3 linked regions of the Arabidopsis thaliana genome follow. The protein of the gene in region 3 interacts with the protein of the main gene of each other region in a pairwise test. Each region holds a gene or a part of one and is shown on either strand. Other genes may lie near its edges.

The links. The genes of interacting proteins can lie anywhere in the genome.
Region 1: the proteins of AT5G61890 (region 3) and ESC interact in a two-hybrid assay, tested with the Arabidopsis thaliana proteins (one large-scale study listed by BioGRID).
Region 2: the proteins of AT5G61890 (region 3) and AT5G42910 interact in a two-hybrid assay, tested with the Arabidopsis thaliana proteins (one large-scale study listed by BioGRID).

What each region holds. Positions count from the first base shown.
Region 1 is NC_003070.9:7,268,787-7,276,078, forward strand, and holds ESC (Putative AT-hook DNA-binding family protein), read left to right. Parts: upstream 1-3,769; 5' UTR 3,770-4,237; coding exon 4,238-5,173; 3' UTR 5,174-5,286; downstream 5,287-7,292.
Region 2 is NC_003076.8:17,199,697-17,207,386, forward strand, and holds AT5G42910 (Basic-leucine zipper (bZIP) transcription factor family protein), read left to right. Parts: upstream 1-4,045; 5' UTR 4,046-4,211; coding exon 4,212-5,156; intron 5,157-5,249; coding exon 5,250-5,351; intron 5,352-5,449; coding exon 5,450-5,515; 3' UTR 5,516-5,684; downstream 5,685-7,690. Other genes in the region: COR27 (cold regulated protein 27), read right to left, coding at 1-16; AT5G42905 (Polynucleotidyl transferase, ribonuclease H-like superfamily protein), read right to left, coding at 1,718-1,745, 1,879-2,627; THO5 (THO complex, subunit 5), read right to left, coding at 6,614-6,880, 6,968-7,102, 7,188-7,690. UniProt on the Arabidopsis thaliana protein: Could participate in abscisic acid-regulated gene expression.
Region 3 is NC_003076.8:24,847,334-24,855,730, reverse strand, and holds AT5G61890 (Integrase-type DNA-binding superfamily protein), read left to right. Parts: upstream 1-1,789; 5' UTR 1,790-1,986; coding exon 1,987-2,233; intron 2,234-2,592; coding exon 2,593-3,092; 3' UTR 3,093-3,409; downstream 3,410-8,397. Other genes in the region: AT5G61880 (Protein Transporter, Pam16), read right to left, coding at 4,219-4,341, 4,469-4,596, 4,734-4,821, 5,131-5,133; AT5G61865 (uncharacterized protein), read right to left, coding at 6,025-6,285, 6,377-7,000, 7,667-7,732, 7,808-7,915, 8,142-8,336. UniProt on the Arabidopsis thaliana protein: Transcriptional regulator of cell proliferation and axillary bud outgrowth. Involved in maintaining the structure of the shoot apical meristem as well as plastochron and phyllotaxy.

The DNA of each region.
Region 1 (7,292 bases), on a different chromosome or scaffold from region 3:
ATCAGAAGATCATTGCCAAATATTTTAACTAAAGCAATTTAATTTACTCTAATAATGTGCAACTCATCGTTACGTATTTCTTCTTGTACAAAGCTAACATGCGGGGCATGTTAGATTCCGTGCGACAAACTAAAAAGTATGATTTGATTGATAATTTGATATAAAGAGCTCGATTAGACTTGTTGATTGTTTTCTTATCTAAGGATTTTATGCATCCATATATTCATTATCAACTATGAACTATCAATGAATAATATTTCCAAAGTATGATATTTAGTAAATTAAATTCTGAATTCCTGATAGAAGGGGGAAAGTCTTCACCCGATTGATGTTCGAGTTTTTGGAGAAAATATAATCAAACTTAGCTGAGTTAGAAACTCGTTATAATACATGTTCTTTACTTGGTTTAAAAAAAGCCACGAATTGATAAATCAATACTTTTTAACTAACGTACATAAAATTAATGAGAACTGAGAGTTCAAGACTAGCTAGATTTTTTTTTTCATTTTATATACAGCGAACTCATTGCTTACACTTTCAAAACTATAAAAACAAAATTTAAAGGTGCTGTAGAGAATAGAATCGCTATGTAAGTATAAACTTTAAGGATGGCATTAATATCTTATATACATCTGGCTCGTGGTATTTTGATTGATGAGAAAAGAAAGCAAAAAAAACAAAAGAACATAAATATAGAAGTTAAATTAGCATACTGATTGATGGGTACGGTATCCCTAAATCATCACAATTTTTTGCCCATATTATTTATTGTTAAAGAGGGTATGATATTTAGTCTCACGACCTTTACTTTTTGTTTGATGTTTTTTTTTCTAGATATAAAGAGCCAGCATTTTATTCACCAGTTGTTGGATTTCCCTAAAAGAGATACCCTTTCGTGATCGCATGAGAGCAGACTGGGGAGATACATATATGGAGTAGGGGCGTAGGCTGAAGAAGCAATAGCTAGCCACAATAAAAAGAAGAACAATAACAGCTACAAGATCATCAAGGGATCAATTATGAACCGAAACCAAATTGATATTCTTTAGTGCCTCCGAACCTCACATATCTACTGCATCCTTACGAGATATTTTGGTCGTTGGGAAAAAAAAAAAATATATATATGTTTTGATCAGTTTACGTGTTTGTCGGAACAATTTAGAACTGCTTTTATTCCATGTTTGGTAAATATATAAACTCTTATGGATACCAAGAACTTAACTTAGTTTTCTCTAATGAGTTCTCTAACATTGAATTCCACGCGACAGTAACTGGACGTCTGAATTCATTAATACATATATAATCTTTAATTAATGTGAGAGAAATGTGTTCATGATCTAGACGAGTAGCGACAGCGTCATAAGAACTTAGGTACAGTCACATATTTATAGACTTGGATGACGTGTAGTTCTCTCTCTTTATGGCTTAAAATTAAATTATATATCACATGAAACACCTCTCACTTTTCTGTTTTGGGGGCAAATAAAACATATCTCACTTATTTTCGAAGTATCTTGATAGTTCCACACATTCCGTTTTCGATCGATAGAAAAAAATTGGACCAGTTTATGATTAAAATACCGCACACAAAAGACTTCACGTACGTTTTTGCTTTTAAGCATTAGAAATACGGGCAAAAGACGCGAAAGTAAGTTAGATAGATTCGGGAGGAGTACTGTGATTGGATAAGGTATTGACCAAGTACCGATGATCCGACCGCCTCCACGTGGTCACACAGCTTGGCTTTCACTTTCATGCTCTGACCTTTTGACCGCACGTGACTTTTGTCTGTGCACGTGCGGACCAAGCTAACGTGTCCGGTTCAAGTACATTGCACCGAGCCCTGACTCGCCAGGTTACGCCGATGAAAACGACGGTTCCTGGGTCCCACATGCCATGAGGATGGACGGTTCCGATCCACTTCCTACTTTCCTACTGAGATTGGTCCCACCATGGTTCAGGCCACATGCGTCCACGTTGAGGGAGCTTAGGTGTTACTATATGGGTGCAGTTAAAAATTAAGACAACCAGTCACGGTCCGATATGAGGTCATGCATTAATGGGTCGGATCGAGTTTAGTCAGTTCAATAAATTAAGATGAATAAGTCAATAATTATTTGAATGGGTTGATGCAATTGGTAAGTGTTTTCAGGATTATCGTTTGTTTCCCAAACAATTTTTGTAAATTAAAAGTTTGATATCATTTGTATGAAGATGATATATCAAAAAAAAATTTTACTAATACATTACTCATTCTAAATCAATAAATTATCAGTGTCTAGTTGTCTTTTTCTGGTATATTTTTTTGTCCATGTTAGAAAAAGCGTAGTTCTAATTAGTGATTCACCAAATTCGACATAAGGCAACAAAGTGGAGTACTTATCAATAATTTTTGAAAATATAAAGTAGTAGTATCAACTAATTTGACATTTTGATAATTATCAGCTAGTCTTATCACATTAATGGATCATTAACTTTCTCCAAACTTATCATCAAAAAGGGTCCACTCCGTTTTACGATATTTAAAGGAGTATACATGGGTAGATCTCACTATCTCAGTATAGAACAAAGGACCATTACCTAGATTGATTGTTCTACGTTATGCGCCTTATGCCCTCTTGACAATAAAAGTGAATATAAAGTACTTTAGTAGAACATTGATTCTTTGATATATAATTAGCTCGGGTTTAGCAAGATAATTTAGTAGCAACCAAAAAAAAAAAAAAACACATCACAAGCAGAATTAATCAATTGTTGTTCTGCAGCGCTTAAAAGTGACTAATTCTCTTCTTCTTTTTCTATAGTAAAGATGGTTCGTATCCGTTTGTTTATTATAGAACGTGGGTTCTTCTTAGAATATTGTATTCGCAAGCCATATACTATATATCTATTTTAAATTATTATACATTATATTTTTACAAAATTAGTTGACAAAACTAATAATAATACTATACATGTAAATTTTTTTTCTTTTCTTCTTCTATATAACTCACGTTCTGCATCCAGTTTGAATATGAATAATAACATATATCAGCAGCACTATGCAAATCACAAGCCTACAAATATCTAGTAATAATGCAAGTTTATACTAAGTTTTACAATAAAAAGATGCGTAAGTAAATTAAAATTCTAAATAAAATGACCTATAGTAGTATTTTCTCAAGTAAGAGAAGACTAAATAGTACTATTTCTCATTTTTACTTATACGAAAACCTTTTAATTAAGTTACTAAAACCATAAATAAGTTAGTAACATGATAATAACATTTATCAAATAACTTTTGTTTAAACATAACCTCCACGCGCCTTAAAGGGAATGTAGGATTCGTTTTAATCCTTGTGTACCCAACTTCCACTTGACATTTTTTTTTTTTTTTTTTTTTTGTTAAATGATACGTTTTCTTTAGCTCGTATATAATAGTATCTGATAAACAAATTGACCAAATGTTATCTCTTCTGTTAATCTTATCTCATGCTTTCAAATATAAGAATTCCTTCTCTAAATTTCTTTTGTATTATCCGATTGGAGCCAAACAAAAACTGCGACGAACCCCTAGTTTTCTTTGGTAGATCTTATGTAAGGATAACCACTTACACACATAAATTTTTTTGTCGGCATTTGTGTATATGTAATAAATAGTATTAATTTACTTAAAAAAGAACATATTATTCAAATAATAATTATTATATTAATGATATAATAAAGGGGACTGTTTCTCCGCTAAATTCTCGGTGTATGTCTTTGCTTTTACTTTCCTCGTTCAATGAGAGGACCAAAAATTTATTGCAGAGTCGCACATGAATCTCAAGCTTCTCTCTCCTTTTTTTCCCATAGCACATCAGAATCGCTAAATACGACTCCTATGCAAAGAAGAAGCTACTTCTTTCTCTTGCCCTAATTAATCTACCTAACTAGGGTTTCCTCTTACCTTTCATGAGAGAGATCATTTAACATAAGTCACCTTTTTTATATCTTTTGCTTCGTCTTTAATTTAGTTCTGTTCTTGGTCTGTTTCTATATTTTGTCGGCTTGCGTAACCGATCACACCTTAATGCTTTAGCTATTGTTTCCTCAAAATCATGAGTTTTGACTTCTCGATCTGAGTTTTCTTTTTCTCTCTTTACGCTCTTCTTCACCTAGCTACCAATATATGAACGAGCAGGATCAAGAATCGAGAAATTGATTTGAGCTGGCGAATAAGCAGTGGTGGGATAGGGAATTAGTAGATGCGGCGGCGATGGAAGGCGGTTACGAGCAAGGCGGTGGAGCTTCTAGATACTTCCATAACCTCTTTAGACCGGAGATTCACCACCAACAGCTTCAACCGCAGGGCGGGATCAATCTTATCGACCAGCATCATCATCAGCACCAGCAACATCAACAACAACAACAACCGTCGGATGATTCAAGAGAATCTGACCATTCAAACAAAGATCATCATCAACAGGGTCGACCCGATTCAGACCCGAATACATCAAGCTCAGCACCGGGAAAACGTCCACGTGGACGTCCACCAGGATCTAAGAACAAAGCCAAGCCACCGATCATAGTAACTCGTGATAGCCCCAACGCGCTTAGATCTCACGTTCTTGAAGTATCTCCTGGAGCTGACATAGTTGAGAGTGTTTCCACGTACGCTAGGAGGAGAGGGAGAGGCGTCTCCGTTTTAGGAGGAAACGGCACCGTATCTAACGTCACTCTCCGTCAGCCAGTCACTCCTGGAAATGGCGGTGGTGTGTCCGGAGGAGGAGGAGTTGTGACTTTACATGGAAGGTTTGAGATTCTTTCGCTAACGGGGACTGTTTTGCCACCTCCTGCACCGCCTGGTGCCGGTGGTTTGTCTATATTTTTAGCCGGAGGGCAAGGTCAGGTGGTCGGAGGAAGCGTTGTGGCTCCCCTTATTGCATCAGCTCCGGTTATACTAATGGCGGCTTCGTTCTCAAATGCGGTTTTCGAGAGACTACCGATTGAGGAGGAGGAAGAAGAAGGTGGTGGTGGCGGAGGAGGAGGAGGAGGAGGGCCACCGCAGATGCAACAAGCTCCATCAGCATCTCCGCCGTCTGGAGTGACCGGTCAGGGACAGTTAGGAGGTAATGTGGGTGGTTATGGGTTTTCTGGTGATCCTCATTTGCTTGGATGGGGAGCTGGAACACCTTCAAGACCACCTTTTTAATTGAATTTTAATGTCCGGAAATTTATGTGTTTTTATCATCTTGTGGAGTCGTCTTTCCTTTGGGATATTTGGTGTTTAATGTTTAGTTGATATGCATATTTTGGTTTCTCGTGTTTATTTCTTTTCTTCTCATATCTTCGGTAGATGTTACATGTTAGAGAAATGCATGTGTCTCGTTATGTTAGAAAATTCCTTTCCATATATGGCTTTCTTTTATTCATAGCTAGGGTTTCGTGTTGTACCCTATAACTATTATTATAATTAGCTCGATTTGATAGATATATAGGTCTAGACTATTCAATAATGAGTTCGTTTGTTCTTTTAAGAATTTTGAGCTTCACGGCGTATTCTTGATGAAATATTATGTGGGCACATCTCAGGCGCTCATTTGAATATTTTTACAATACGTCAATACGTTACCTTAATCATAGTATAATATAGTTCTTTCAACTTTTTAACAACCTCAATGTAGTATTCATTATAAGGTTAGAAAATTATTATACATATTGATCAATATATACGTTTTGTGCATCTAAATTCATTATTCGTACCATTTGAGTACTTGTAGCGTCTTTTAGCCGAGTATACCTTTTAAGATCACAACTTCTGTGTCATATCTATCTATCTATACGGTGTTATTGTGTTAAGAGTACTGTCATATATACCCATCTATATATAAGGTGTTAAGAATATGCTTACATATTGATCAAAACGTGCATCGTTCTAAATTTTGTAGTTAACCACTTGCCTGATTAGAACGTCTTTTTAGCCGTTTGTACTTACAGTTGAAAATTCCATTGATTGGTGTAATTGGCTATTTAATTACGACAGGGCCGTCTAAGCGATCTCGAGTCTTACCATCTAGGAAAACAACATGGGCAATTTTTAAACTATTTAGCGTTCATACAGTTTCTAGTGTTTTAAAAATACTACATGTATACCTAGTGGCCATGTTATGACCTTTTTCATTCGATCACTACAGTTACTTAATTACATGCATAAAATATGCATTAATGCTTCAGTTAATTAACCGTCGATCCTGTAAAATAGTTGTATCCAACATTATTCAAAGACAGGTTGGCAACAAGTACGTAGCTTTAAGCTAATATTTATAGGTCACATATGCACAGTACCATTTATGTTATAATCGTAGTTTTTGGTTTGAGATTTCCAACCCCTTAATTTTGGCTGGTATGGAGAATTTGTCTCAACTCTCAACCAACACTTCAAATACATATTCTGCTCTTTCTCAATCTATATATATTTCTGTCCCAACAATTTAAATATATATATGGAATATGGTTTTATACCGGTTTATATATTACTATTTTCGTGTTTCTTCGTCACTACAAAATATGAGTTTTTATATATATATATATATATATTGATAAAAAGAACGAGTAAATGATATTGGGGATACTTGTCTAACTAGAGAGATAAAGAGTGAAATTCTATATTCTGCTAAAACTAATCATATTCGTTAAATAGAATGGAATCATTATCTAACATCCCACTGAAAAGTAAACAAATTCATTCATAGAAGAATATGCTTCTGCTATTATGCAAAATATATAACGAGGGGATTACTTTTATTTATTTCATATCTCATACTACATCTTTATTATTTTCCATTTATTCATCTAATCTTTAACCATTTTTAGAGCATAGTATTGTTTTTTGGGATTTTAGTCAATGTATATTGGTTAAAGACAACCGTTACAGAGCACAGTAGAAACATGAAGTAGAGATTATCTCACGTACGTCGGTTACATACAAATTAGTGAACTTAACATGGTAAGATTAACAATGAACATAAATCATTTGTAGTGTCAGTTAAGAGCTAGTCTCTGTCACAACATAACAAAAAATGGGGTTTTGATTACCAAGATATGTGAAAAAGAGGAATGTTCCAATTCCCTAGGGACATATTTATTGACTAGGAACAAAAGGAAGCTTAAGCAAGTAGTAATATTTTTTTATTTTTCATGAGAAAGTTTTAAAGTTATTTAAATGATACCAACATACTAAAACGAATTATAGTTAACTACTTTCAGGTAGCTTTGTTACGCCTATTCAGCTATAGGTGCAATATGGGCATATGGCAATACATAGTTGGGGT
Region 2 (7,690 bases), 7.6 Mb from region 3:
TGTAATCACCAACCATTGTTGGCTTATCTTTGTGGAGAGAGAGAGAGAAGAAGAAGAAAATGAAAAATATCAGAGAGAAAGAGAGAAACAAAATATCAAAAGAAACGATACAGTTGTAGACGCTTTTACACGTGGGTAAAGTTGCCACGTCATCACCAGTCAATTTGGCGGAATGAAGAGATGAAACTTTTTGGTTTTAGATATTTCAAACACAAAAAATATCAAAGATATTTTCTTCAACTGCAAAATATCTTCCACCGTCCTCTTCTCCTCTCTCTTGATTATTCTTTCTTTTTTTCTTTTTTGTTGCTTTTGGTTTAACTTCTCTGACTTTTTTTTTTTGTTTATGATATTTTCTCTTTTTAATCAATGGAAAGTAGACAACTCATTCTTAGATATTTATAAATAATTTTATAGATTGCCTTTTTTAAGACGGCATTTTAGGATTATTTATTGGGACGATTCACTTTTCTTATTAGAATAATTGTACCACATGCAATGAGGATTAACGATGATTATGAAAATAGAAATAAATTGACTATTACATGTCTCTTTTGGAAGAGTGTTTTTTTTTTCCCGAGACATTTTTTGTTTTATGAACTGATTTATATGATTTTATTTTTATCATTTAGCTAGTTAGGGTGGAATTAATATGTGATTATTTCATGTATTATGTGAATTTCTAATTTATCAAATTATTCTTCTTTTCATCATATGTAAATATATTATTTATAGTGTTATATTATATTTACCATGTCAAAATATTCATTCACGTGAATATTAAATAATGAGATTGTAAACGTAAAGTTTAATAAACTTTTGCGCTAAATTCTACCTAAAAATAAATTTTGAATACTTATAAATAGGTATATTCAATTTTTCTGTTTAAGAGAAATGGTAAAATATTAAAGTGGAGACATAATCTTAGGGAATTGAAAAGTAAAAAAAAAGCTTACAGTTTAGTTTTAAGATAGATCTATGATTTTCAAGAAAGGTTATACAAATGATCAGTTTGGATCAATATACTCTACCATGTAAGATTCTATGAATTATAAATTACCCATTTAACCATTTTAACTTATCCAAATAATAAAAAATACTTAAATACTCAGTAATCTTAAGAAACAGGAAAACTCCTTCAATTTTAGTTTAAGATAGATATACATCTTTTCAAGAAAGGTTACACCAATGATGAGTTTGAATAAAAATAATTTACTCTACCTTGTAAGAGAAGGGTGAGTAATTATGTGAATATACAAATTAATAAATTGTAAATATGTCTTCTATCGTAGTGCTTATTGATTGTTGTAACTCTTTGCAAAATATTTATTTAAGACTTTTAATTATATGAAATAATTTAAATTTTAGAAAATTGTATTTCTTTTTTATAAATTTTTATCTATACATTTTCAGTTAAGGTTTTGTTTTTCTCCTTAAGTTTTACTTTTGCTCTAATTTTCCTATCACAACTCTTCGTTATAGATGGTTGTGTACAAATTACAATTAAGTATTTTAAGAATGCGTATCTTTATCTTAACTCTTCTTAAATAAATTTTTATTTTATAATATTTTAAAAATTGTATATATTTATTATTAATTTTTTGTTCGATATTTTTTTTATAAAATTATGTCCAGTCTTTTTTTGGTAAGTGACCGGGAGACAATTGCCTCCCGTGATTTATTAAGAAACTAAAGAAAAGTTACAAACGAACTCGCCTTAGTTGAGTAGACCCAAGAGTATCCTCCTTCAACAAAGATGACATCGCATCGGGAACAAAATCAAAAGAATGAAAGCCTAAAGATAACAAAATTGTATAGTTTGCTAATCCGTCCGCAAGACAATTAGCTTCTCTATACACGTAAACAATTCGGACCAACCAGTCTTTCTGTAGAAAGTTGTGGCACAACCGCACCAGGAATGACAGCGGATGAGAGTCACTAATCCCTGTTTTGAGGAAACCCACTATCGCCTCTGAATCCACCTCCAACTCCACTCGAGGCACCTTCTTCTCCCATGCGAAATACAATCCGTAATACACTCCCCATAGCTCTGCATGTTGAGCTGAGCATCGGCCTATATTTAGAGAAAAGCCACCACACCAAGCTCCTTCACAATCCCGTAGTACTCCGCCTGCAGAAGCCAGCCCCGGATTTCCACGAGACGCCCCATCTGTGTTTACTTTCACCCAACCCACACATGGAAGCACCCAACCAATCAGCCGTTCAACTCTAGGTTGCGTACTTCCAACCAAAGCGTTACCCAAATGTGCTCTATACACTTCCACAACCCACTCTTTAACAAATTTCACACGGTCCCTGCATTTCGTGTTCTCCCCAAATATATTACTGCATCTCCACTTCCACCCCCACCATATTATCACCGCAAAAATGGTGGACCACGGTATATCCTCACAGCTACTCCTATCACACAAGTTATCATAGAGCCATTCAAACAGAGATTTCGAAAAGAACCCCTGCTGCCTCCTTCGCGGCACAAATCTGACCCAAATCCCCAATTGAGCTGGACAGTCTCTAAACACGTGAAGCACAGATTCAACTCCACCTATATAAACCTGAGACACATTCGAGGCGCTAAGATGTCTTCGATGCCGTTCCTCATCTGTCATAACTATGTCCAGTTTGGTTATATATACTTTCTGTTTATACTTATATTTATATATATTTTTCCTAAATATAACTATTACTTTTGATTATTTGTTAAACATGTCCATGGATTTAACTCAATCTCAATAAATGCTTCTTAGTCTTGTGTCTCTTTATCATAATTTGTTGTTGAATAAATTTTTTATTTACCATTGTAAAAAAAAAACTGAAAATTTGCGTAAAATCATTGTAACTCTTCTTTTCTTTTCTTTTTGACTTTTTGTCAAACGTTTTCTTAATCATTATAACTCTTCATTCGATATGTTTTCAATTAGGATCACATCTTTCACTATGATGTTGTTCTACTGCTAATATAGTCTCGTTAAATGCTTTTGAGGGTTACGTCCATTTACCATATTCTTCGTAAATGTATCTTATATTAGTTATGGTTAAAAACATATTTTCAAGGTTGTCTCAATCTATTAGAGTCATGTCTCTGTGTCATAAACTTTGATTTCACCTTTAGCAGATAATTTTAATCTTATGTTTTTATATTTTTTCATAGTATTTTATAATATACATCATTTTGAGTTCAAATTCTTTAGTAAATTTTATAAAAATTTAAAATATTTTATCGTGCAACACCACCTATAAAAAACCTATAGTCCACCCTTTTTATCTTCTTTTCCTTAGTTATTGTATCATTAACAAAAACTCCAAAAAAAAAAACAAGAAAATATGTAAACCAAAAGCCAAACATCAGTTAAAGTTACAAATTAAAGCCATTCATGGTCTAAATTTCTAAAAAGAGAACCACCCGCTAACCTATTATCAAGTCAAAAGGATAGTTTTCCATGAATTCATTTGTGTGGTGCGATTTTGATTCAGTAGATTAATTACCATGAAATACATCATATCAATTTACTAATTTTATAAATATTATCTTTGGATAGTTACCGACGTTCAAATCTACATAATGCAATAATGCATGTTGTTTACAACAGCATTGTGTAATTTTTATTAATAATCTAATCATTTTAAAATTTTATTATTTAATTAAATTAATTTAAATATAAATAAATACTTATGAAAAATATCTATACAAAAATGTAAAAAAATATATTTAAAATTATCAACTCATCTAGATCTTTCTTATATTTAAAAAGTTAACTTTCAATTACTAGATAGATACACTAAGTGAGAAAGGTAAAATAAATTATTTGCTCCTTATATAGTGTTTTTTATTTATACAAATTGTTGTTTTATTAGATCCCTTTTATTCTAGATTTTTCTTACTTCATTTGGATAATGTGCTTAACTCAGCTTAGATTTATTATTTTATTTTATTTTGGGTTAATTGCCATACATTAGTTTTCTTATATATTCAATTACTCTTTTGGTTCACTGAAACTTATGAGAAACTTTTAATCCAAAAAAAAAAAAAACTTATGAGAAACAAAATGAATATTTTTCTTGATCATTTCTCTCTCCCTCTGTTTTAAAATTTCTCCTTTCCTCTGTTTTGCATGATTTTTAACCTCAAAAGCTCTTACATTTCAACAACTGTTTTCTAAGGCCACTAATCACTCGGATTTGTGTCAGGTGAAATGGATAGTTACTGGAGACTTAAAAACTTGGTGAATGATTTGCCAGTTAGTACTTCTTTAAGCCGACAAGGATCAATATACTCATGGACAGTAGATCAGTTTCAGACCAGCTTAGGGTTAGATTGTGGATCAATGAACATGGATGAGTTGGTTAAGCATATATCAAGTGCTGAAGAAACACAAGAGGGGTCGCAGAGGCAAGGCTCAACTACTCTGCCTCCAACACTTAGCAAACAAAATGTTGGTGAAGTTTGGAAATCTATCACAGAGGAAAAACACACCAATAACAATGGAGGAGTAACAAACATTACTCATCTTCAGGGACAACAAACCTTAGGGGAAATCACTCTTGAAGAGTTTTTCATCCGTGCTGGAGCAAGAGGAGGTAATACCAATGGTGGCTCCATTCATGACTCATCGTCATCGATTTCCGGTAATCCACACACTAGTTTGGGTGTTCAGATTCAGCCAAAAGCCATGGTTTCTGATTTTATGAACAATATGGTTCCAAGGAGTCATGATTCTTATTTGCATCAAAATGTGAATGGATCTATGTCAACATATCAACCACAACAATCTATCATGTCTATGCCAAATGGTTATTCTTATGGAAAACAAATCCGATTCTCAAATGGTTCCTTGGGATCTGGTAACCAAAGTCTCCAAGATACGAAGAGAAGCTTGGTCCCAAGTGTTGCGACAATTCCAAGTGAAGCCATAACATGTTCACCGGTTACCCCATTTCCAACATTAAATGGGAAACAAAAGATTAACGGTGAGTCTTCATTACTCTCACCATCTCCATACATTAGTAATGGTAGTACTAGTACAAGAGGTGGGAAGATTAATAGTGAAATTACCGCGGAAAAACAATTCGTTGACAAAAAGCTTAGGAGAAAGATTAAGAACCGAGAATCCGCAGCGAGATCACGGGCTCGAAAGCAAGTAAGAAAATGTTATATATATATATATATATTATCTATCCATCTTGATTGATTGTGTTTTATAAGTACCAAACTGCTCATTTTTGCTCTCTAGGCTCAAACTATGGAGGTTGAAGTTGAACTTGAAAACTTAAAGAAAGATTATGAAGAGCTACTAAAACAACATGTAGAGTTGCGGAAAAGACAAATGGAACCAGTAATCTATTTATTCCAATCTTATTTCCTCAACCGTACATCAATTAAAAACTTGAGAACCTTGTTCTAACTTTTTGTATATCTAAATAATACGTGAAGGGAATGATTAGCCTTCATGAACGACCGGAGAGAAAGCTGAGGAGAACGAAATCGGACATCAAGTGAATCAATGAAACCCGAGTTGGAGGATGATGATGAGTTTATTTTGTTCATCATGTTTTGTTTTCGTATATTTTTGACCAAATAAGCTATTTATTAGACATCTTATTCTTAAACCCATTTGATAATGTCCTAAAGATCGAATTCTCATGGTCTAGGGGAAAATCCAAAACTTATTTTTATTGGAGCCAGAAAATACTACTATTAAATATTATTATTTTGGCTTTAGAAAACAATGTCATACTAATCTCAACCATAAAACTATAAAATTATATTATAGGCTCAATAATTGCTGCTAAATTTTTTCACTATTGATTCATTTGCAATATACAAAAATAACTCCTATAATAAATCAAAAAAATTCAGTGTTGATTCATTTGCAACAAAACACGAAAAATTTCACTGTCTTTTGTGGTTGGCTTTGTTCTTCCTGGGACATGGGAGTGAATTTAGCAAATCGTGGTTCCTCTTAGGTCTTCGTTCATGCCTTTGATTTTGCTTTGTCTTTTTGATATGTAAAAATTTACGTTTGACAGTTTTCCTGTAATTTAGGGATTCGCTTCCTTCTTTTGGATTAAGTTTTTGGGATGTATTTATTTTCCGCCCGCTCTTGTAATTCAAACTTGCATATTTCCTTGGTAATTGTACTTAAATAAGATGACAAAAAAACTAAAAGTTAAAGTAAATCAAACTATATAATCACTTGAAAGTTATAAACTAATATCCAATTTGATTTGGTTTTGTTTTCTTCACTACCTCCAATTGCAGGAACAACATTTGTCAATGATTGCAGTAGCAACCTGTAATAACGGTTGTCTACGAGTTGATTCCTTTTTTTTTCTCCAAAACCTGTGACGAGCCCTTTTTCACTTTTCTAGTTTCCAAGCTACCCGCTAGGCTTTAATGCTTAAATCGAGACCAAAACAGAGCAGGCTAAAACGGATTGGACTTGAAACATTGCCAGGTTTAAAACAGACCAGGTCCTCACCCAACAAGTAGGCTGTTTCAATAACGGTTTATACGATAAAAAAATGTTACATGCAAAAACTTTTGCTTGTACCACCAGAGAAAGATAATATAGAGAAGTGAGTGGCGATGTAATCTCTAGCATGGATAACCCGATGCACATCCTCTGCCCTTCCATGAGATCATTTTCCGGTGATCTCTGCCTCTGAATGATCTCACAAGAAGCTTACCGTCAACAGGCTTGCACAAACCGACATCAACCACAGTTGTGGCTGTTCCTCTTTTGGAATCTGGAGATGGGTCATCCACGTAATAGTCGAACAACATTGCTAAGCATCTGATTTGATGAGATAGGAGATAGTTTTCTTGATCTGAAGGAATAATCTTCAACATATGAAGGTTCACCTGATACCGCCACGAAAAGGTTACAAAGGCGTTATCTTTGGTGTCATCGAGTAAAGATTAGTATATGTTACTGGGTTTGACACTTACTTCTGCTTCCATTGCTCGAAGTTCATTGTAATGGTCACTTTCATTTGTCCCATTTTCATTTCCTGATGAAGAAGATGCGTGGAGAGACAGAGAAAACAAAGGAGGTCGAAGAGGATACTCCATGCTAATTTGTACCTGCCAATACAACTCGATTTAACACTTAAGAAAGAAAAAGATATAGGGAAGATACCGTATTAGAAGATAGTGTTTTAGAAGTTACCATTGCTTCTAACTTCCACAACTTTCCGCCATCTGTTTTCCTGGAGAACACAAGCGCAAACTCTCTCGAACCATAATCCACCCATGAATTATCAGCTTTCTCAGGGCATAACTCTTCCACATGCGCCTCAGTTCTTCCGGTTGGCTCATCTATTTCACTATCATCGTCCAGAACAAGATCCAAATCATCTTCGTATTTCTTGAAACTTGGGGACTTTCCTTTGCTAATCGGAGAATCTAGATTCTTTGTCATCAAGGCCAACTGCCTTGACCGTGCTTGATTAGATACTTTCGATGGGGTATGATTGGAACTGGTTAACGAAGCAGCCGCCGTGACCAAAGAGGGAAGTTCTCCATCTTCCCGTATACTTTCAAAATCTTCTTTTCCAGAAATAGATCTTCCATCTACATCGATTTCCATAGGTTCTGGAACTTGTTCCACACTGTTCAGAGTCAGAGAGCATGACTTACTAGCTGAAGATTGTATATGTAACCAGGAATCCA
Region 3 (8,397 bases):
CTTGATTTCTTTTACATCAATACTTGGAATTTGAAGATATCTGTTTTGTGCAGCTTAATTTCTTCTATTGATAGAGAATAGTGAACGTCCAACAAAAAAAAAAACATTCAAGTTACAGATGAATATTGTTTTGCATTTTCAACTAATGATTTGACATATGGAGAAAGTGTCCAAAAAGTAAAAGGTAAAGACTGTTATATCAATTATGTAAGAGACTGATAATAACCATAGAATTCCCAAAAACAATTTTTTGTAGATTTTTTTTTTATAGTTGTTATTTTGTTAATTTAATATATTTTTAAACATGTGTATCATATATATCAGAATCATTTCTTAAAAACTAAAACAATGATTTTTTTTTCTTAATGAATATTGCATTATTTGCGGATAATTGAAAATAATAAAATTATGTTATCAAAATGTTGAAAACGTGAACAAATGGCTATTGATCACACTATAAATTTTCCGTCAAATAAATGAATAGTTAGGTATCACATGTGATCTAAGATTTAGATGAGGGTGTCCAAAGTGAAGACCAAATACATTTAACAGTAAAGCTACAGTTTAGAGAAATTTTGATCATAAACATAAATAAACAGCTGGTTAGGGAAGTGGTAGTTGAACCTAACACCAACGCAGTACACACATGATCGATCAAGTTAGTCAAACTGGCTGTGGATTACATTTACAAGTCTTACATTATTATATCCGTACTTGTCACACATTGTACATAATTTCTTTACCTGTCAACTTAGTTAGCTCTTGACTTTTTTGAGTGAATAATTTTTCAAATGTCAAATTTTTTACATACAAGCCTATAATATGTAGATAGGCAAGAGCTCCATTGAGTAAAAATTAAATACCTCCTTTCGGACGTAGAAACGTGTACACAACCCTAACACTTGCAATTTAAACAATTTCTACAAAATGTAACACTAACCATTTAATCAATTTCATCATACTACGACATAGAACAATAATCACTTTGTTTAACTCAATTCGAGTGTGTACACGATACTTGGATTTAGAGGTTTTTAAAACGTCTTTTGTGTTGCAAATTTTAGTCAACCAGTCTTTAAATAAATTAATAGGTTCACTTCTTACGTACGCAAACTCATATTTCCTTTTTAATTCACGTTTGGATCCACAACAAGGGTGTCGGTTTACATTATATTATAGATTTTCTTAATACCTTTTTCTTGAGAATGCAGGTCGATTTTTGACGAAAAAAACAATGTGTCGGTTTAAATTACATATACAACTAAGACCACGACAGTGCTTTTTATAGTTTAAATTATAATTTAGACAAAAAACACTATTAGTCTATATCTTTCCCTCAATTCCATGAATGTGTTAAACCCTTTTCACACAAAATAAATGATTAAACAAAACATGAACATGCATGCGCAATTTTCCTCTCTTCTTTATTTTATTCTTTTCACTTTTGCATGTTTAGTTTTCCCATCTCGTGTAGTATTTTATAGTAATCTTTATAAAATATCCTCTCTTTTGATATTTAAATACACATGCACTTTCCTCAATAAGAAAAGTTTAACAAACATTCTCATTATACATGCCTTCATTACAAAACATTGATCCGTACTGGTCGTACAAGCATATTTTTTAAATACGATAACAGAAACAAACACATATAAGAAATTATTAAATACGAAAGAATGTGAAAAAAAAAAAAAAAATCAAACTTAAAACATATTTGTTTTAGGTCATATGTTCACACGTAGAACGAATTCCTCTATAAAAGCCTCAGAAAATTGCTAAACCCCCCCAAAAAAATACTTTACTCTCTCTTTCTTCATTTACTTCAATCTAATTTCTTCTCCTTATCATCCTCTTGTTCTTGATGTTCAACGATGCCATAAAGAAAAACTGAACAACCCTAAAGTACTGTATAAATCCTATATCAAATTTTTTTTTTGGAAGAAAAGGCTATATTTAAAAGAAAATCAAGCAAAAGTAGATCCTCGGATGTATGGGAAGAGGCCTTTTGGAGGTGATGAATCTGAAGAAAGGGAAGAAGATGAGAACTTGTTCCCGGTCTTCTCGGCCCGATCTCAACACGACATGCGTGTTATGGTCTCGGCCTTGACTCAAGTAATCGGAAACCAACAAAGCAAATCTCATGATAACATCAGCTCTATTGATGATAACTATCCTTCTGTGTATAATCCACAAGACCCTAATCAACAAGTTGCGCCTACTCATCAAGACCAAGGTATATATATACATGCTCATATCGATCTTTGAATCTTTTTTGGTTGAAACAATGTTAGGATATATTGAAATTATGTGCAAATTTCATATCAGAAGTAAATCTCAAACTTAAAAGGTTATTATTATACTGTTTATTTCAATACTCATTTACCAAAAGAAAAAACGATTAGGCTATTACCAAAATGTAATTTTTAACATGGAGATTTTGTTGGTAGTATATGGTTTCAGCACCAATATTAGGTGACGATATATATTTATACACATAAACTATGAGCATATACAAAGTTTACATACTATGCACATGTATGAGTAGACCATACCAAAGATTTTCTGATTTCAACTTTTGTGATTTCAATAAAGGGGACTTGAGGAGGAGACATTATAGAGGTGTAAGGCAAAGGCCATGGGGAAAGTGGGCAGCTGAAATCCGAGACCCAAAAAAGGCGGCACGTGTGTGGCTCGGGACATTTGAAACCGCTGAATCTGCGGCCTTAGCTTATGATGAAGCAGCCCTAAAGTTCAAAGGAAGCAAAGCAAAACTCAATTTCCCGGAGAGGGTTCAGCTTGGAAGTAACTCTACATATTACTCCTCCAACCAAATTCCACAAATGGAACCACAAAGTATACCGAACTATAATCAATACTATCATGATGCGAGTAGTGGTGATATGCTAAGTTTTAATTTGGGCGGTGGGTATGGGAGTGGTACCGGATATTCAATGTCTCATGATAATAGTACTACGACTGCTGCTACAACTTCTTCGTCTTCTGGTGGCTCTTCTAGGCAACAAGAAGAGCAAGATTATGCCAGATTCTGGCGCTTTGGGGATTCTTCTTCCTCTCCTCATTCGGGATATTAATTAGGAGATTTGATCAGTTACTTGTGATGAAGTAATGATACATTTCCCGTCAAAATTGAGATGATCATATGCTTCCTGAATGTTTTTGAGTGTCATTTTTGTCTTCCGCGTTAAGATTTATTGAACGTGTTTTCTTGTTTTTTTGGTTAATATCTTGGAGGTTTTTGGCTCCTACATACATGACAACATAACATCACCGATTCGAACTTCAACGCACGATAAAATGCATTAGATAGTTGATATACATTATACAGATTGCAAATATAGAGTATCGATTATGGTGCAATTAAATACCATAAAGAAAACTACGTTCCGTTGATGTTTGACCAGTCTTTAACGCAATACTAATGTAGTCTACTTTCATACCATCGATAGTGTAATATTTAGTTGACTTTAAAAGTCTTTCTAAATCAGCATTAATTGTAGTGTGTGGATCACGAAATTCGGCGGTCGACAATTCGACATAAAATATATAAAAAGCTTCATTCTCGTTTGGATCGGCTTAGACGTGTAATAGACATCGATTCAACTTTGCTAAACGCTCTTAAACCCACTTGAAGTCTTGGACTTGGACTTCAAAGTCAGACACCACTTGGTTTAGTAGCTACTAGCTAGTGCAACTCTATCAATTTAGTTGACTATCAAATAAAATACAGAAGTATTCCACTAAATCCAAAGTGTATTTGAATCTACATGACTAAAATCGTAAAAAGTATAACTAAAGATGTATAATTATGAAAAAAAAAAAAAAAAAAAAAAAATTGCAAGTCCTATTTTTTCGTAGACTAATAGGAACGTGTTCGTTTTATCTACGATTTTGTTGGTGATCAATATATTTGGTAATTAAAATGAAGTAGACGGATTTTTCAAACTCAGATAATTCAATAGACATGCTAGAATTCAACTAGTTTACCTAAGAACTAGAAAAGTCAATATTATTAAACAAAATAACAAGACTTTTAACAACGCCGGTGAGTCGGTTACTGGCAGCATTCCGGCCATCACCGACCTTGTCTCAATTTCAACTTTTGCGGCTATCTCCACTCAATTTCAAACTTCTGTCCTAAAACTATAACTTGTATCAAAAGATATGTTCCTGATTTGCTCCTATTGTTTTATTGCTTGTTCATGCGCTTGTTGTTGTACTCTTCTGGTATGCAGTCTCTAAGCATTCCTTAGCTCTATGGACCTTAGATTGGAGATAGAAGCTTCCATTCTGCGCATTGCGTTCGAACAACGTGTCGTATTTCTACAAACATAACATATAATCTCAATGAGAATAAGGGTCTCTTTTTTCAATCAGCAGTAGAAACTAGAAACTATAAACCGCTATTCGCGTTTGCACAGCCAGCCCGGGGTGAAGTGTGAAGACAAACCTTAAGAATCTCGTCCCAAGATGATTTCTCAGTTACACCAAGAATCTGTCTAGCTTCTGCTTCACCTATAGTCAACCCTCTCTTAATAGTCTGTGTCGCTTCATGCGCAACCCCGGTTTTTGATGCATCTGTAAACCATTCCAAACAATGTTTATCAACAATTTCGCAAAGTAACTTACACTTACACACACACAATACAACGAATCTTTGATAAATTCATTCTTGCCCAGAAAGAAAACAAGAACATTGTAATTAAAAGACATACTTGCAAGCGCCTGACGATATGCCTGAGTACAAGCCCTGGCTATGATTCCAGAGCCCATCACAATCACACTTGCCAAAACTCTTGCAGCCTTGCACACAAATGCTCAAGAAATTTCAATACACGTTAATCAATCACTGAGAACAATTTCTTGTTGAAAGATACACTAATAAAAAAGAAAATTTCCTATGCAACAATATTCAATCAAAAACCAGCTCAACTTAAGGATCTCTACAAATAACCAAGGTCATGGAGAAGCAACAGTTCTCAATATTTTAGTGATGATTTCACTTGTAAATTTTTATGAGCTTCTAAGAAATTTCAATAAAATTGGCTCTAATCAGAAAAAAAGTGTGGACTTTGAAACTAGAGAAACAATCGGTCGGGAAATTACACATACCATTGTCAGAGATTACTCAGACCGATGATTGGAGACTTCGACCGATATAATACCTGAAATGTAAGTACGGTTTAAGATTTCTCGTAACCGAATACTGAAAAGAAAAACACGACGTAGGATTCGAAACAGAGACAAGTCGAGTGTAATGAAGATAATCGATTTTGAGAACCTTACGAGGAAAACAAGAGACGGTAATACGTTTATGATTTTTTTTTGGAGTCGAGGAGCTAGGAATTTGACGACCACGGTGATCCACCCAGTTCTGCGTTCTATGACGGAGGCGGAGAGAGAAACTCAGAGTTTCAGGTGATATCATCAACAAGAACCCTAACCGACGTCGGAAGATGATTTGGGCCTACATGTAAAAAGTTAAGCCCACTATTTATAAAACGTGGGTATTGAAGTACAACCCCCAAGTTTTTCAAGAAATTCTATTTTGGCCCCACTATTTATTTTTTGAAGATTAATTAAACTTTGATCATCCCAACTTTTCATTCGAAAACTCTTGCATAGGTTGATACAATGTATCCAGTAACATAACAGATTAGATGGTTCGATTTATGCAATGTAGTTAGAAATATAATGTTTGTATGTATCATTGTGTTTATTAGAAGTTAAGTTGGTTAATCATTATAGTCACCAGGATTAGCTAGGGTCCATAGTTATACAAAACAAAGGTTTCGGTGCAACTCTAACAAAGACGTTTTGTTTCTGACTGTTGAAACACCATCTCAAGAAATTACCAAGACTTATTAAAGTGTAACTAATGACAAGATAAACGAGTATTTTATTTAAGGTGCTTAAGTGTTAAAGAAGCTACTGGATCTCATTGTTTTTCAAAGCGTAGTGAAGATAGATTCTGATGCAATGAGTGAGACGTGTGCTTTAGTTTACTTACCTCCAGGTTACTGTTCTAGCAGACGGTGACAAACCAAGTGGGATCAAAGCATCAGGGCGTGCGGTTTGAGAACTTAACAGTGCTTGGCTCCTAGTCCTTCGGCGATTGTACACCAATGTCTTCTGCTTTGTGTCTGATTGTCTGATGAGTTCTTTAGGTCCCATTGGACTCTCTGGCTCTTGTTGCTTTCTCCTTTTGCTCAGTAGTTCCCAAAGTAGTTTCTCTTCGTGTTCTCGGCTTCCCTCTGTGCCTATACGCTACATGGACAAAAGGATGAAACAAAAACCCTTTTAGCGCTTACTTAATCATTTGAGCTTTCACAAACAAAACTCATTATCGAAATTTTACCTTGCCGGTAATAGAATGTTCAGCTTGTTTCTTCTGACTCGCGGGTAGAAGAAATTTGGCAGATGTTGTCATCCTCTGAACTTGATCTTCAGCTTTTTTCAGCTTTGATAAAGCGTTGATCTTTGTCTCTTCTGCAAGTCTAATCCTTTCTCTAGCATCTTGTAGCTCTCTCCTTGTATCTGAGTTTGATCTCTCCATCTCATTCACTACATTCATCAGTTGCACACAAGGGCCATGCTTTATTTCAGCAGCCAAGTTGCCTACGTACTTGGTCATCGGGTGACACATATTCTTTGCTAAAGCCTGCATAAAATCATTGACTCCAGTATCTACTGAACCAAGCACCTCGTTGATGTTATTAAATAGTACGCGAAGGAGCTTCACTGTGACAGGGAAAGTGTCATGGTTTTGGCTGTGAACCGAGCTTAGGTAATAAAGAGACTTCTGGATGAATTCTTGGAAGAAGGTTCTACGATCGTCAACCATCTGCAGAATATCTTCCCGATGTGAATTCACCTGTGTTTCAATGTGCTTAAGCATATGAACTAACTGTCTCAGCTGCCCCTTATGCTTGTGCAAGATCTCTTTCCCCGCTGTTTCGGCTTTAGCAGCATAGTTTTCTTCCTACAAAATCATGATACTTCAAATGAACTTCTGAGGAAGAAATCCACTCAAAGTAGGCAGAATTATATATTTAACTGCAAGCTCCAAACCCACATGAAGGTACAAATGGTTTTCCAAACAGCTTTGTGATGCAATTGATTAAAATTTGAAACAGAAAGTGTAGAGAAGACAGCATCTAAACTATATTCCCTATTGGTTCTCATTAATCTATAGCAGAACTAGCCAAACATTAATAACGAATCACCAGAATGAAACTTGACTAGGCACATCACAGTTTCATGATCATATTTATTAGTCTGCATTCACTCTATACCAGAATTAGGTATACATGTATAAGGAATCACCAAACTAAAACTTGACTAGACGCTTTACAGTTTCAGGATCACATTGTTTGGTTTCACATTCAATATCTAGTAAAATTAGTCATACTAAATAGGCAATCACCAAAGTGAAGCTTGACAAGACCCGTTACAATTTCAGAATCATATTGCTTTTTTCGCATCACATCTATAGTAGAACAAGGGATACACATATACAGAATCATCAGAATGACACTTGCCTAGACACATAACAGTTTCAGAATCATATCAATTGGTTCACGTTCAGTCTTCATTATAACTAGGCATACATATGTTATAAGAATCATGATGTATACTACTATACTACCTTTGAACTGCGAATTTGAATGTTCAGATCACCAGACCGTGCAGTATCCATATGATGATACCTTTCCTGATGAAAATTAGAGTAATGATCTGAAAATTTGCAATTTCATGATTCTACAAGAAGATGATTGATATCACTCACAGTATTGAAAATAAAGGCGGAGTGTCTCCCTTCACTCTCCATCTCCGACGTTTTCAGCCCAACCAACTTCATCAAAGGGATCGCCAGAGAATCGAAAACTTCACCTGCCTTTAAATTATCAAATTCTCTATCAAATTCGTTGCAACACCCACAATTGTTCAAATTAAGCTTGAAACTACCAATTTAAAGAGTACGCAACACTCGGAATCGTTCAAATCAAGCTCGAATCTACCAAACCAGATAATAGGATTACCTCTCTCAAATTCGTTTGAATCAAGCTTAGATCTACTTAGAAATCGAATCTAACAAACTAGAGAAGAGCATTTATCTTTACTTCGACAAGGCCGAACGCGATCTGCGATTGGAGTTGATGGTACGCCATTTTCACTTTCTTGGTGCGATCGACCAGTGTCGCGAGCTTATCTCGGAGATCTGGCGCCGATACTGCTGCAGCACTTTCCTCCGCCGTGTATTGCGCCGGAGAGGCCTGGAATCTCCGTGGATAAAACGCTCTTGGCGGGAACTCCATTGTAGGAGGAAATCAGTTATCACACAAGTCCGAAGAGAAATGGATTCGAATTTCAAACAGT